Linked DNA regions of Notamacropus eugenii. The protein of the gene in region 2 purifies or fractionates together with the protein of the main gene of each other region. This does not show direct contact. Links are inferred from orthologs where the notes say so. Each region holds a gene or a part of one and is shown on either strand. Other genes may lie near its edges.

Region 1 (8,168 bases), on a different chromosome or scaffold from region 2:
GGACCAGTGCCCAAGGCAGCACTCCAAGCCCAGCTGGCCCTCTCTCCAACTCTAGGATGCCTTGGGATGTTAGAAAAAGCCGAGAGCAAGGGACTCCAACCGCAAGACTTTGGAAAATCACTTTGCTTCTCCAGATTTTAACTTCCTCTTCTGTAAACTGAGGTGCAAAGGGGCAAGGTTTGGACTGACTGGTTTCCTTCCAAGGTCCCTACCAGCTCTGGGTATGATCCCAGTAAAAAAGTCCCTTCAATGCTGCCCAAGTCCCATGTATCTGTCACTTCAGGTGGTCCAGCCAGGGATGGAGAGGGGGCATCTGAGTCCAAACCCAGGGTCCTGCTCACACCAGACCAAACTGTCAGGCACAGTGCCACACATTCTCAGCTCCACAGAGACATCTCTCACTTGAATCCTCCCAAAGTCCAGGTATCTGTCTTTTTACTTGAGGGGTCAGACAGGGGAAGGTAGGACCTGTATCTATCTGTAAGATCAATGCTTACTCGTATATACTATTGGGGGGTACTGCAAGGTGCTAAGTGGGGAGTTCTCCTTATCCCACCCTAGAAACTGAGGGAGGACAAGACACTCCTCATATCCTCCAGGCTTCCAAGAGAGCACCTGCCTGGTCACAGGAAGAACTGGAGATCACAGGAAGAACTGGCAGTCACAGGTGCAGAGGCTCAACCAACCTTTGCCCCTCCCCACCCAGCCCACAGAATCACCCAGGACCTCATCGGTGGAAGGCAGAATCTGATCCAACCCCTTCATGCTATAGAGATGGGACATTGGCCTAGAGAGGGGAACAGACTTGGCCACAGTAGCACAGTCAGGTAACAGGAAAGGGAGCGTTTGAACTTGGGTCTCTCATAGTCCAGAGATCTTTCTATACCAACTGCCATCTCCTTCTGATGCCTCTGCATCCCCACGAAGATTGATTATAAACATTAACTGCCCCAGTCACTGAGGGAGGGATTGGTTAAACTCATTCTCAACAGGGCTGACAACTCAGACAACTTTCAATTTTGTCCTTCCGTGGGCCACCTCCATTTTAATAAATGATAAAACAGCTCCCCCAGACTCCAGCAAAGGGAATGAAATGTTTCAGGCTAAATTGGGGGCATAAGAAAACCAGGCAGGAGAGGAATGGGGAGAGAGGGAAGGGGTCCCCTCGTGCCTATGGCCAGTCTCAGTGGAGGAACTGTCCTCAACTGGTGGCATCCAGCATTACCCATGGACTACAGGACCCAGAGAGTGGGCCTCTCCCACTCGGGAAGCAGAGAAAGTGAGGGTATAAATTCAGAGCTGAGGGGAGGGTTTGGGAAGACGCAGGAAAGTCACAGGTGTCCTGAGCCTTGGCTGAGAAATCCCCTGGAGTCAAAAAAAAAAAAAAAAAAGCTCCAGCCACCAAGAGGGTAATGACAAAACCACTAACCACTACCCCCAAACTAGCCGGTGAAGTTCTGTGGCTAAAGGCATAATAAATCACCCGGCTAGGGGGGCTGGGGCTGGGCAAGCCCGGAGGTCTGGCCTCTGGATACATGGGGGGAGACTCACAGACACCTGTCCTCCTCCTCCACTCCAGGGGAGTGCTCTTGTCCCAGCCAGCAGAATAAGCTTGCCAAGCCTGGGAGACCCACCCCAGCTTCCGACCCCCCAACTGACGAGGGACTGGAGCTGTGGAAACCACAAAGAAGAAAAACAAAGACCTAAGCAGGGCTACAAGAGGCTGGGGCCCCAGACGAGAACCCTCTCCGCCCCCCACCCCCAGGTCAAGCCAGTCCCTCGGTGCAGTGCCCCCAGGCCAGTAGCAGCAGGGATTTCTCAGCGAGTCCTTCCTTCCCCCTCCCCCAGAGTGGGGCCATTCTCCAGAGAGGCTCAGGCTCCGGCCACCACCGTCTGCTGACCCGAATTCTCCGACTCCCCTCCAGTTAAAAAAAAGGGGCTTGAGAAAGGGGTAGGGAGAGCCGGCGAGGCCCAAAAAAGGAATCCACCGACTGGCTGAGCAAGGGAAGAGGACCGAGGCGGCCAGTGCTGGCTTCCAGGCCCAGACATCAGAGAGGAGTTGTCAAACAAAGGTCACCACCAGAGGCTCGCAGATCTGGCCCCTCAAGCCCCCTGACATCTCCCCTCACTCATTTCCCGGCTCCCAGAGCCCAAGGCCGTGACAGGGTGGGCCGGGGACAAACAAAAACACTAGAAGCTGGTTCCCTCAAGTCCCCCCCTCCCCCCACTAGAAAAACCCCTCAGGGGGTGACAAAGCTGAAGCTGGGGAAGGCAGGGGGAGGGGATCCAGCCTGGCTTCCCTTCCTCTACACTAGGTCCTTAGGTCCCTCAAGATTTCTCCCTCCCCTGGCAAGCCAGATTGGAGATGGGGAGGGAAGGAGAAAGTCAACTCGCCTTATTGTTTGGGGTGGGAGGAGGAGTTTATCCATCCTTTAAGGGATCCCTCCTCATCCTTCCACCTCCCCCAAAATGTTCACTAGGGGCCCCACGTTCCACCGAGCATTCTTGGTTTGGGGGCAGGGGGAAAGGGGGAGGGGAGGAGAGCGGGAGAGAGGTGAGGACGGCTTGCCACCTCCAACCGGGAAATCACTTCCCCGGTCCGGCCATCTACCGACTCACACTCCCAGCTTCCCCGCGCCACCTCCCCCCCATTTCTTTCTCTTCCGCCCCCAAATCGGGGGTGGGGGGTGTCAAAGGGAAGATAAGGGGGGCTCCGGGGGGTGGCTTGGGAGGGCACGGAGAGGGGAGTCCCTTTTCCCGCGCCCCCCTTCTCTCTCTCCCCTCCCCCCGGGCCGCCAGCCCGCCCGCCGCCCGATGGAACGTTATGTATCATTTTTCGGAAGCTCCATTGTGTGCCCGCCGCCGGGGCCGCCGCCGCCGCAGAGGGGGGCGGGCGGGAGGGCGCTGGGTTTGGGGGGGCCCCCCTGGCTCGGGGGAGTGGGGGAGGCTGTGAAAAGGCAGCAGCGCCGCTCCCGGCGGGGGGGGGGGCGGGGGGGCTCCCCCCGGCCCCCCCCTGGCTCGGGCGCCCTGTCACAGCCCCGACTCGCAGGTAGGGAGAGTTAAGAGATTTAAAGAGAAATTGCTACATTGTAACAAACTCACCGTGATGTTTGAGCAGCCGTCGGCGCGGGGTCTCCGAGACGTCCCCGCACGGGCTGCACAGGGAGGACCCAGAGCAGGCCGAGCCGCCGGGCCGGTCAGCGCAGTGCCTGATCGCATGGCCGCCCGCCCGCCCCGGGCCGCCCCCCTCGCCGCCCCGCGGCCGCCGCCCGGGCCCCGCGCGCGCGCCGGGGACGCCCCCCGCCCGCCCGGGGAAAATTAAAGAAAATTTAAAATGCTGAGAAAAAAACCATGCATGCTGCCCGTCCTCCTCCCCCCCCTCCCCTCCCCTCCCCTCCCTCCCCGCCCCACGCCCCCGCCTCCCTCCGCCCTCGCGGGGGGCCGGGCTCCGAGCTGGCTCCGCCCCGCGCGGCCCCCGAGCCCGCCCGGCCAGCCGCGGGCACGAGGCTGCCCTCATCCCCCGCTTCCTTCCATCTCCCGCCTCCGTGCCTTTGCACGAACGGACCTCCGTGCCCGAAATGCCCTCCCTTCCCCCAGCTCCTGCCACCAGCTCAGCTTGTGTCCCCTTTCCTGCTAGTAATTGTTTAATAAATGTTTGTATCCATTTACCCTTTCTGATTCCTCTCTCACCCCAGGGACACCAACTAACAGGGAGTGCTCTCCCCTCCTGCCCACCAAATTACTTTGTATTTTCTTGGGGAGGTGCGTAAGCTCCTTGAGAGGAAAGATCGTGGGGCTTCGCTTTGACTTAAGCCTTTTTTTGTATCTCTAGCAAGCAGTTAGCACCCTGGCTCCCAATAAAGGCTAACTTACTGACTAACCGACCTGCCAGCTTTTTGACCTAGTTCGTTAAGGGTAGGGTCCCTTATTTTCGGGGGAGAGGGGGTTGAATCCCCTCAGAGCACTTTTAAGAAGTGCTTTTCTAGTTGAGAACTGGCAATCAAGTTTTGATTAAGACCCTGCAGTATGCTAAGGCGGGGATGGGGTACCTGCCACCTTGAGGCCCTGTATGTCCCTCAAATTCGGGGCTGCAGGTTGTCCCACCCCTGTGCTAAGCTCTGGATATATTAAGGGCAAAAAAAAGTAGGAAGGGAGAGGCAGTTCCTACCTTGGAGAAGCTTACATTCTAATAGATGTGAATTACTGACAAAATAAATACAAGGTATTTAGGAATAGAGAGCAAGGTCAAGGAGTGAAAGATACTTAGTCTTTCAGTCTTTTCAGTCAGCTCTGCTTCTTCATGACCCCATCTGGGGTTTTCTTGGCAGAGATACTGGACAGAGATACTGGATCAGGCAAAAAGAGTGAAAGATACATTGTGATAGATACAGTGGGGAAAGGGTTGGCTGGGGTCCAAATCCACCTCTGATTAATTACCACCTGTGTGACCTTGAAAGTTACTTCATTTTTCTGGGCCTGTTTCCCCTCCCTAAAATAAAGGTTTGGGACTAGATGTTCTCTGGGATCCCTTCTAGCTAGAGAGCTGAGATCCTAAACCACTTCCTTAAAATGCCTCTGCAAAAAAATGAGAGAGTTGGACCAGCTGGCTTTGGAGGTCCGGTATAATTATGGAGATTGCATCCTGTAAGTCTAGGTGCCCAGACTTGGAGTGCTACACACTGGAAGGGCCGTGGAACACCTCAATAGTTCCCTGAAGACCACCTCTAGCTTCAATTCACATCACTGCTCCCCTCATCTCCTCCTCTGCAGGATGGACCAATCTGGTGGCTGGGGGATCTGTCCTTGGTTTCCTCATCTGTATAAAGAGGGGTTAGCTAGGTGACCACTATGGCCCAGGACCAGGCCATGCTGTCACAAATATTCATGCCCTTGTTTCCCATGGGTTCCTAAGTCTAGAACATCCTGGCCAACCTTTAAAGCCCTACTCTGTCCATGCCTACATGTCCTCCAGAAGACCCTTGTCCCTTTTTCTGCCTGTCTTTGACATCATCCACCACAGATTCTTCTAGGTGCCCAGGTCTGCAAAGCCAGAGAGGAGTTTGGGCCAGAGAAACCCAGGACTGGAGAACTCCAGAAATAGCTGGGGGGTCAGTAAACAGAGCAATGAGGAAGTCCTGAGTTCAAATTCACTTTCAGATACTCACTACCTGTGTTACTCTGGGCAAGTCACTTAACCCTTGCCTCAATTTCCCCCACTGTAAAATAAGTATAATAATAGTGCCTACCTCCCAAGATTGTTGTGAGGATCAAATAAGATAATATTTGTAAACACTTAGCACACAGTAGGTACTTAATAAAGGCTTTATTCTCTTCCCTTACCCTTTCTGTGTCTGGGTCTCTTGCCTTATTTGTGAAAAGAAGGACTTTGTCTTCAGGGGCAGAGCTTCCTAAACTACTTTGGGTTCAGATTTGCGGTTGTTCAGCCCTGACTCTTTGGGAACCCTTTGGGAGTTTTCTTGATAGATATTTCTCCAGTTCATTTTATAGGTGAGGCAAACAGGGTGAAGTAACTCACCCAGTGTCTGAAGCCAGGTTTGAATTCAGATTTTCCTGATTCCAGGCTTGGTGTTTTATCCACTGAACTACCTGGCTGCCCTGGGTTCAGCTACTCTGATGGAATCCATGAATCCTCATCTGTGGATCCGAGGGCAGAGGAAGAAAAAACCACCTGGGCATGGAGATAGGGAGGGACATTGATTCACATTTAATACTTTAAGAGGAAAATGTCACAAGCATCAGACTTTTCTCCTAGAATCTCAATTCACATTACATAGTTTTTACTTGAGGGCTCTATGGAACACTCTGAAAAACACAAGACTTGGGGCAGTGTGATATAGATGGGGAGGAAAGGAGAGGGGAGGGAAGGTCCTGGATTTGAAACCAGAGGACCTATGTTCAAATTCTGGCTCTGATGGATACTACCTCTGGAGACTTGGGCAAATCACTTGCCCTCCCTAGGCCTCAGTTTCCTCATGTGTAAGATCAGGCCTGTGAGATCCCTTCCACTGAAGCCCCGGCTATCTCCAAGCCTCCTTCTAGCCCTGAGGGTCTTCTACCCTTTCCATTCTTGGAGGCTAGCCTCAAAAGAAGATTTTGTAATGATTCCTGCCTGCTGGGACTGTCATCTCTGAAAGGCTAAAGGATGATATGCTTTTGACTGAACATCCAGCATCCTTCCTGCTCATGAAAGGTGCTGTGCTTGTCTGACCTTTCCAGAATTCATGTCTTGGAAGGAGGCAGTTCCAAAGGGCAAATTTAGGTCCAGGGAGATGTCACAGAAAGAGCCCCTGGACTTGGGCATCAGGAAACCTGGGTTCAATCCCTGTTCTCATTTGAGAACAGGGTAAGTCCTTCTCTAGTCTCAGTTGCCTCATCTACAAAATGGGCAACCCCCACCCTGATTTTCTTACAGGATTTCTGAGAGAGCCTATGTGAAAACTTCTGGAGGACTCCATGGAAATATTTCTCTAGGGATTTTTATTATTTTTATCCTAATTATTTTTATTATCTTTTATAGTTATATGTATTATATTTTATTATCATTGTCTCCCCAACTAAATTCTAAGCTCTTTGAGGACAAGGAGGTGGGGCGAACTGTCCTCTACCTGGCACTGTCCAATGGATGGTATGTAAACTCTCTTGGCCCCACTCAGCATCACCCACACACTCAACTTTGTTCAGGGAATTATAATTATAAACCCTTTACTGTGAGGCAGGAAAAGAGGGCAGCCCCGAACCTTCCCAGCCATTCAGATCTCATCTAGCCTCAGAAACTGGTCCCCTCTGAAAGCTCTCTGCTCCCAGCATTAGCTTCAATTTCAGAGCCTATAACATAGCCTTTAGTGAATTGTTTTCATTATCACCAAGAAGCCAAAGGGCCCAAAGCTTGGACTGTATTACCGGGTCAGGAAGGGACTAAGAAAAGCCAGACAGGTTGAGGTGAATTTTGGTCACACTGAAAGCCACAGGGTCAGGTGAGGGTCTCTAGCTGCAATGCCTCCCACCTGCCAAATCTGAATCCTACAGAGCCTAAGTACCACCTCTTCCCAGAAGCCTCTGGACCTCCCCAGCTCTCCTCAATTACAGTACTCGATATGAGAACCAGCCCCCTAATTTGACACATTGTCATTTTATGTTTGCTCACCTGACAGTGCCTTGTTTGTTTGTTTTTTAATCTGGACTGTAGACTTCCTGAGGGCAGAAACCACATCGGATACCCTGTTGCCTTTGGTATGGTGCCTGGCAAAGTGCAAAGCATACAGTAGGAACTAGATAAATGTTTGGAAAGAGTTTAGTTCAACACACCTTACTATGGGGCCCCTCACACACTGATTAAATCCCAGAGTTTCAGAGACCAGCTCCTTTACACACAGCAGACAGCAAGCATAGAATCCCAGAGTTGGTAGAGACCTCACAGGACAGTTAGTCTAGTCTTTTCCTCAAAGCACGAACCTGCTTGCAACATTAGGTTGGAGGTCAAAAGTCCGTAGACCTGAGTTCAAATCCTATGTCCATACTATCTGAGTGATCTCTCGCACGTCATTTAACCTGTCTAGGTCTCAGCTTCCATCTCTGTAAAATGACTAGCTTACCTCCAGAATCCCTGGTAGCTGTAGATTTTATTGTCCCTGACCTGTGGTCTTCCAGCGTCTACTTGAAGACCTCCAAGGTTGGGAGTCTTGTTACTTCATGAAGAGGTCCATTCCACTTCTGAATAGCTCTATTTAAAAAGCTCCTCCCTAGAACCATACAGCCACCCCCACCCCTACCCTCGCCTTCTAGGGCCAACCAGAACAAACTTTCTGTGCAAAATGAAAAAGGAAGAATCTGCCTGGAGAAGAGACAGTTTTCACTGGTGGGCAGAGGAAAAGCATGGAACAGACTTAACATCTCTGGCACTCCCACTGAGAGACACCCCCCCAAAAAAATTACAGATTCTCCCCAAACTCCCCCTAAACAAAAGGCATCTTTCCACGATTCATTTGAGGTTGAGTTCAAAACAGAAAAACTCCAGGGAACAGTCTATTATTACTAGGCTCTTTTCTAAGAAGTCTTATTTATACATTAGTTTTGTATTAAATTCATTTCTGAAAGTACCATCCCCAGCAAGTCTTCTTTCAGTCCACCACATATGTATGTGTAGTATG
Region 2 (7,676 bases):
GACACCATCAAGAGGGGAGGTGGTCAAGATGGTGGCAATGGTTTAACATTTAGCTCTATCTACTAGGTTGAAACTCTTTGTCAACAAAAGGCTGGTCAATGAAGGCCAAATAATTTGTATTAAGATTTTTAAAAACCTCAAGGAATAATTATATTTCCTGCCTTTAAAAAGAGTCATATCTATACAACCTCTGGAAGATGGTACTCTATGCTACTTTTAAAGACTCCAGTGATGGAGACTGAAAACACCTTGATGATCCACTCCAGAATCTAACAATATTCATTGTCTATAATTGAAGTGTGGGAGGGAAGTTTGACCTGGTATAGATATGTAACTTATAGTCTTAGTTGCCGAAGGAGACTAGGAGGTTAAGTGACTTTCTCAGAGTTGTATATACAGCTATATTGTCAGATGAAGGCCTTGAATCCAACCTAGTTCTGTCACCAAGGCCAGCTAAGAATGAAGCACAGCTAGCTCTTATCTTTATTATTTGTACCATAAATGTTTCACTAGGAGTCTAAACCCACCTGCCTAAATTTTATAGTCAGTAGAAACAGTCTTCTATCACTTCTCAAGGAACAAGTTACCTTTTCTTTTGCTTTTATCAATATTCTGACCCCATTTACACAATACAAAAATCTGCATGACCTTGGGCAAACTACTCACACTTCCCATAGTCTCAATTCCCTCTCAGCTCTGCCATTTTCTACCAGTGTAACTAGTGGGCAGCTGGGTGGCACAGTGGATAGAGTGCCCAGCCTGGAGTCAGGAAGACTCATCTTTGTGAGTTCAGACCTGGCTTCACTTACTAGCTTTGTGACCCTGAGCAAATCATTTAACTTTATCTGCCTCAGTTTCCCCATCTGTAAAATGAGCTGGAGAAGGAAATGGTTTTGTAAACCACTCCATTATCTTTGCCAAGGAAACCTTAAATGGGGTCACAGAGTCAGACACCACTGAACAACAAAGAAAACGGCTAAGGCGATTCACCTCTCAGGGTCTCAGTTTATTCATCTTAAAAACTAGAAGTTGTATGAGGTGAATATTAAAGTTACTTCCAAGCTCTAAGTCTGTGAACTTGTTTTTTAAAGTAAGGTGAGGGTGGTTGAACTAGATCAACTTTTTAAAATTCTACTTTTCAGTTCCACTTTCCACAGAATGCTTTTCCTGATTCCTTAATTCTAGTGCCTCCCCTCTATTATTTTCAATTTCCTGTCTGTAGTTTATACTTAGCTGTTTTTATGGTCTCTCCCCCATCAAACTGTGAGCTCTTTAAAAGCAAGGGCTGTCTTTTTACCTTTTCTTGTATCTTTGTGTATGTAACACAATGTCTGGCTCACTTCATAGTGGGTGTTTAGTAAATATTATGACTAACCCAACTCAAAATCCTAGGAATCTTGAGGAGTAGGAGAGGGAAAAGAGGAACAAAAGAAGGGGTTTGGAGGAAGCATTAGCGTGCTGGACTCACAAGAAGAAAAAACTGGGTTCATACTACCTCTACTATTGACTAGCAATTTACTCATTGATAAAAGTAACAATAAGAGGACCTACACCAACGAGATTTTTGTGAGAACCAAGAGACAATGCAAATACAGGGCTCTGAAAATTTTAAAACCTAGGTCAGATTTAAATATTTAGGTTTGTAAGATTTAGTTCTAAAAATCACTGTAAAAATCTAGTACAATTTCTGCCTTTTTTTTAATCATGAGAAACCTGAAGTTCCGAAAGAGGATGTGACCTGACAAGTCATAAAGATAGTTAAGTTGCCAAGCCAGAATTCACATTTGGGTTTTCCCATTCTAAATACTCACATTCTTTAAAGCCTGGGTATCTCCCTAATGTGTTATAAAATATTAAAATTACATCATCGAAGCACAGCTCAGGTATTAAGGCAAGCCTTTAAACCTACGGGAACACGAATGTGCGTGGGGAGAGGGGTGTTTTGTTTTTTTTCTAAAAGGCAGCGCGTCAACAGGATTTATTAGGTCGGACGTCTCGAGCGGCCCTTTCTTCAACTTCAACAAAAGTAAAAACAGAAGAAAACCCCCACGATGCTTGACGAGCAACAAAAATCCTGTAGGAATTAAGTTTTTCGAAGTTCCAGAACTGCAATTCCGCAGAGTGGAGCCGCCGCCGCCGCCCTCCCTCCGGGCGATCAAGGCGAAAACACAATACGAGCGGAGCCCCGGACCGCTGGCTGCCCACCTCGGGCAAAGGTCAGAGGACAGAGGGAGAGGAGGGAAGGACGGAGGCGAGAAGGGGACGCCTCGAGCACCCGGGGCCCCCAGCTCCTCCCAGCCCCCTACCCTCACTCCTCCCGGGGGCACCCCGGCGCCAGCGCCAAGGAGGGCCCGGAGGGGAAGCGGCCAGCACGCCGCCGCTCCCCGCCCCCACCTGCGCGCTTGCGCGCACGGAGCCTGCGCGACAGGGAGGGGGCGGGGCGTCACAAAAGTAACTCCAGAAGCGACATGTGGGGGGCGCGAGGGCCACGAACTCCCGAGAGACTTGCCCGCGTCCCCCCCCACCCCCACACATCCTACCCCTCCTCCTCGAGTTGTCCTCCGGCAGCCAGGGGAGCGCGTGCCCGCCGCCTCCCTGCTCCCAGCGCTCCCTCACAAGTCAGCCGCCGCCCCATCCCCAGAGAAATCAGGCGGCGCCTGACGGGGCTTTTGTGCGGGTGGGAAAGTGAGCGAGAGCCGGTGGGGGGAAAGTCCGCTGGGGGAAGGAGTGTTCCCCCAGCACCCACTAGGCCACAGCCCGCGGCTCCGCTTCTCCCCCACGCGCGCGCGCGCACACACATACAGACGCTTCCCAGTCAGGCCCGCCCCCCCCCCCAGCCCGTCTCCTCGGAGCGTCGCTTTACCTTCTGAATCGCCGCGGGAGTGATCTCTCCCTTGCCCCTCTGCCTCGGAGCTGCGAACGCCACAGACATATCGGCTTCTCGCAGCCCTCCCCGAGATCCAGCAAGTCCCGGGCGCTCTGGGGTGAACAGCAAACTGGGGGAGAGAAGCCTGGCTCTTGGGTGGAACCACTGGGCGACACAGAGGGGGGGGAGCCCGTGGGGGCGTGCGCACGGCCGGAAAGTGCCGCCCGCCGGGACCCCTCTCTCATTCTCTTTGTAGAAGAACCCCCCTCCCCCCCACTACTACCAGCTTGGTCCTGGGTGGGGAGAGGGCCGCGCTTCGTGACCGCGTCATCATCGAGAATAGCCGGAGCGGTCCGCCTTCTCCAGAGCTCCCCCCACATACACCTCGTCCTAATGGTACAGTCCTGCTATTGCCCTCCCTACGCTCCAGCGATTCAGGAAATGGTCGGGCCGCCCGCTTGGAGCCGGGTGGGGGAGGCCGGAGCGGCCCCTGTCACAGGAAATGCGAGAGGCCGAAGCCGACCCGCCCCTTCCACCGCGGCGCAGCCCCCTTCCCTGGTCGGCGGGAGCATCCTCCGAGCCGGCCGCGCGCAGCGTGGATGACAGCTGATGACACTTCTCCAGCCACACACGGCCGCTTAGAAGTTGTGCCCTAGGCTCGTTACTCTGCGGAGCGGGGCGGGAAAAAGCACTGGGGGCGGGCGGCGCGCTGCGGGAGTTTCTCCAAACTCCGAGAGCATCCGCTGAGCGGAGAGAATGGGAAGGGAAAGCGGGCTTGGTGCCCGTCAGTGGACAGCGAGACCTAGGAGATGCGTCCGGAGCGCGGGGCTTGGGGACCGGGCGCGGGGGGAGGACCCGAAGGAAAGCCCCATCACACCGTGACCCTCATGGGGCAATCCTTCCCACGCGATTTTGGGGGGGAACCCGAACCCCGCCTAGTTTAGACCTCCGTGTTTGAAGTCGGGTAGTGGGACCTGCTTGTCTTTGGCTACAAATCACAGAACAGCTCCTCCGAAATGGCTGGGCGGAGCGCATGAAACCGTCCTTCTCTCGGGAAAATCCGGACTTCCTGCACAAACAGCAAGTTCCCCGAGATTATATTGTTGGTGCTTTTAAAGTGTATACGTTTTGATGGGTTTTACCATTAAAATAATAAATAAATCGCAGCCATTTAAGTATTTCAAATCGCTCCTTCCGTCGTACATGGGGCCAGCAAAACCTTGTCTGAAAAGGGAACATATTGGCACCTGCTGATCACTTCTGTGAACGGAATGCCCTTTTCTATCAATGTGCTCACGCACATTGCCAGAGCCGCCGTCACCTTGTATCTCCTCTGTACGGGTCTTGTATGCATCAGTATGCAGCATGTCGGCTCCCACAAGAAATGAAGTTCCTACAGAATCCGGTATTTGCCTTTCTGGTGTGCCCAGGCGTGCTTGGTGTATATACGTCCTTCCTAAATGCTGGTTGGCCGACACGTAGAAATATTTGTTAACCCTGCTGATTGATAACCATGATACCTAAGGCCACGTGTCTATAGTACCTTAGGGTTTGTGAAGCACTTCATCTAGAGCAACTCGAGACAAAATCAGACGTGGAAACTGAGGCTCAGAACCATTATGACTTGCCCAAGGGCACAGGATTAGTAAATGAGAGTCCCGTGTCCCCTAACTCCAAACCAAAGGTTTTTCCTCCTCAAACCCCACCCCCATGCCTGGCCTCCCACAGAACCTGTAAAGGAGAGGCTGTACTTAAGACTCCACTTAAAAATCTAGCCAAGACGATGGGTTTCTGATCACAAGCCTCTGATAAACCTGTCTAGCAACCCCAAATTTAAAGTCTAGGACTCATTTTCTGAACAGTGCTAAGTTCTTGGAGAGTTCTCTTGCCAGAAGGAGGAGTTCTTGGGTAACAGCAGCTTTGGGAATCCCTTTCTACCAGTCAACCCCATAGTATCTATTAGGTGCCTGACGTGTGCACTGTGCTAGGAACCAGAGCTCAAAAGACAAAAGAAACAGGTCGTGCCCCAAACAAGCTCTCCTTCTGTGAAGCAACATAGAGTAGGCCCTGGTCAAAAGTCTGGAGATTCAGACTAATCGAATGTTAGTTGTTTCTAGCAGCTTTGTTTCGTCTGCAAATGAGATTAGGATGCCAAATATGAGATAGCACCTCAGAGTCAAACACAGATTCCTGGCGAGGACACAACTGAAGACCTGCCACATGGACATTAACCATTATCATCAAGTTCACACCTGTCCATCTCCACAAGAATAGTATGAGACACCCTAAATCTTAGTTAAAATCAAGGTAAAGGCAGGTCTACAGCATTCCCCTCATCTATCAGCTAAATAATTTTTGTCAAAAAAGAAAATGAGGTTCATTTGGCATGACCTATTCTTGGTCCTTTGCAACTACTCCTTTCTTCTTTCTAATATGACCAGGATAGCATTGTTACCTTAAGGTCTTTCACGAAAGCTGGAGACCCTTTTATACACCTCTGTGGAGATCTAAACCTAAGCAATAGTTTGAGATTATCAAGAGAACTATAGGCATGAATAAAATGAACCAAAAAAGAAAAGGTTTTCAGGGCAAACATGCCAAACCAAACCTGATCCATACATATAAAAAGGCTGGGGTGCTTTTATGGATTACAAAATTTAATTACAGCCTGAGTTGTCCCCTAAAAAAGATTAACAAGGTCCTCAGTGGAGTAGGTATCAGTTATGTCAGCTATTTCCTCTACCAAAATATTTTTTAAATGCAAAACTCAATAGTTGAGTCAATAAATACTTATTAAGCACCTACTATATACCAGGCATTGTGCTAAGTGCCAGGTCCATAAGCACACATTTATAGGTACTTAAAAAATTAACTCATAGTTGCCATTAAACTCTTCTGAGAGGTAAAGATAACTGTAGAATTACTAATTATGTATTTCACATTCACTTCAGATTTATACTCCCAGGCTTTTTAATCCTTTCAGTTACATAATAATCCTGGTGATGGTACTCTTCTCAAAGAAGGTGTTGTGAAAATCACATCCTGCTGGGTAACAAGCTCCTATCTTCTCAAACTCAGCAAGTTAACAGGACTGGAAACATCCATTTCATGGGATTAGTGTTTGTTTGGTGACCTTGCTTCAGAAAAAGAAACACCAAACAGAAGCAGCAGCCAAGGACATGAGGTCCTGTGTCAGCCTCCTCCAGGCTCTTGCTCTTGCTATCATGAACAAGAAGTTTCCATTGTTGCCAGTGGGGAGGTGAGGAATAAAGGAATGGGTACCACCTTACTGAAGTTCAAAAGAAAGCAAGTGTTAGCAATTTTCCAACAAGGAAATTTCCTTTGGAAAAAAAAAAAAGAGGAGGAAGGCATCTCTACTTGCTCCCTATAACCCAGATTGGTTAATGTTTCTGTCAACAATTACCTTTGACACAACCCCCAGTAATAGCCACGCACAGAGAACAAACAGGAACCCATGTCATTTTAGCAAATAACCAGAGTATGTGGTCTACCAAAAAGAAACCAGGGGATAAGTTCTACCCTATGTTCCCTGTTACATGAATATATGAAATTAATTTTAACCAGTTAAGAGGAAGGTCCCAAGATATTAGATGAATCCTCTACGAATTTATAGAAAGACATATAAATTGTTGCACAAGATGGGGAAACATGGATGAGTTGGGCTCTGGAAGGATTAGCCATATCGACAACATCATAGATCCATTGAAAATGGAAGTTGATTTTTCTAGAGCTAAAATGTTTTTATTCAGTTTATTGCTCATAAAATTTTTTAGAAAAACAGAGGGAACTACCCAGAGGAAGGCTTCAAGTGCATTTCAGAGAGCTTTGGACAATCCATGGAAAGATAAGAATTTCACAGAAGAAGAAGAAACCCATGGGTTGTGATCTGCACTGGTGGAGGAATATTGCAGAGACCATGTATTGCTAATGTTATTTTCTTAATTTAAAGATCTTTCCCATCTATTCATACGCCCATGTGACCTGCTTAAATCATATGGAAGCCCAAGTTACATGTGGTGGGAGGAACTTGTTGAACAGGTGGAACAGGAAAGGTAGAGAAGAGCTGGGAGGAAGTTGGTCAGACTAGTCAGAGCTGGGAAAGAGCAGGCAGGAAGTAGAGGGAGTGGGAGAGCTTGTCTGTGATTTTGTTTAAAGGAGCTGGTTTGTGGGAAGCCTACCAGGGAGAAGGCTTGGGGATGGTGTTGCCTGCTGCATTAGTATTGTGTATAGATTTCTTTGTTACTATGATGGATTTCTGGTGTTTGAAAAAATGTTTTTCTTCTGCCTTCCACATGGAGAGTCCGTTATACTTTGCAATTCAGAACTACGCCAGCATATTCATGGCTGCTGTAGATGCTGTGAATATCACATTGGTGCTACAGACCACAGGTCTATCATAGTTAGTGTTCACACTTTAGAACATTTTATCCCATGCATGCATGTGTATATGATATACGTGTAGGTATGTATATGTACATGGGTGTATGTGTGTATGCATATATATGTGTGTATATGTATGTATATATATACATTATATATATATATACACACACACAGACAGAAGGCACAGAGTGAGCTGAATATGAAGGGAGAATACCTAAAAAAAATAAAATTTGCTGTTGAATATACTATGAGTAAGAGTGAGGGAGAGGTAGGATGTAGCAAATCATCTCACATTAAAGAGGGAAGAAAGAGCTTTTACAATGGAGGGGAAGAGGGGGGAGATGAAAGGAAATAATTGAGCCTTCCTCTCATGGGATTTGGCTTAAGGAGGGAATAACAAACACTC

Evidence for each region.
Region 1: the proteins of SS18 (region 2) and BICRA purify together in Homo sapiens (affinity purification with mass spectrometry; 3 studies listed by BioGRID and IntAct, counting the BioPlex papers as one, with this or other methods). This does not show direct contact. The link is inferred for Notamacropus eugenii from reciprocal best matches to the Homo sapiens genes SS18 and BICRA.

What each region holds. Positions count from the first base shown.
Region 1 is NC_092876.1:29,526,377-29,534,544, reverse strand, and holds the start of BICRA (BRD4-interacting chromatin-remodeling complex-associated protein), read right to left. Parts: upstream 3,233-8,168; 5' UTR 3,103-3,232; intron 1-3,102. UniProt on the Homo sapiens protein: Component of SWI/SNF chromatin remodeling subcomplex GBAF that carries out key enzymatic activities, changing chromatin structure by altering DNA-histone contacts within a nucleosome in an ATP-dependent manner.
Region 2 is NC_092875.1:250,753,315-250,760,990, forward strand, and holds the start of SS18 (protein SSXT), read right to left. Parts: upstream 3,262-7,676; 5' UTR 3,247-3,261; coding exon 2,864-3,246; intron 2,736-2,863; exon of another isoform or gene 2,541-2,735; intron 1-2,540. UniProt on the Homo sapiens protein: Appears to function synergistically with RBM14 as a transcriptional coactivator. Isoform 1 and isoform 2 function in nuclear receptor coactivation. Isoform 1 and isoform 2 function in general transcriptional coactivation.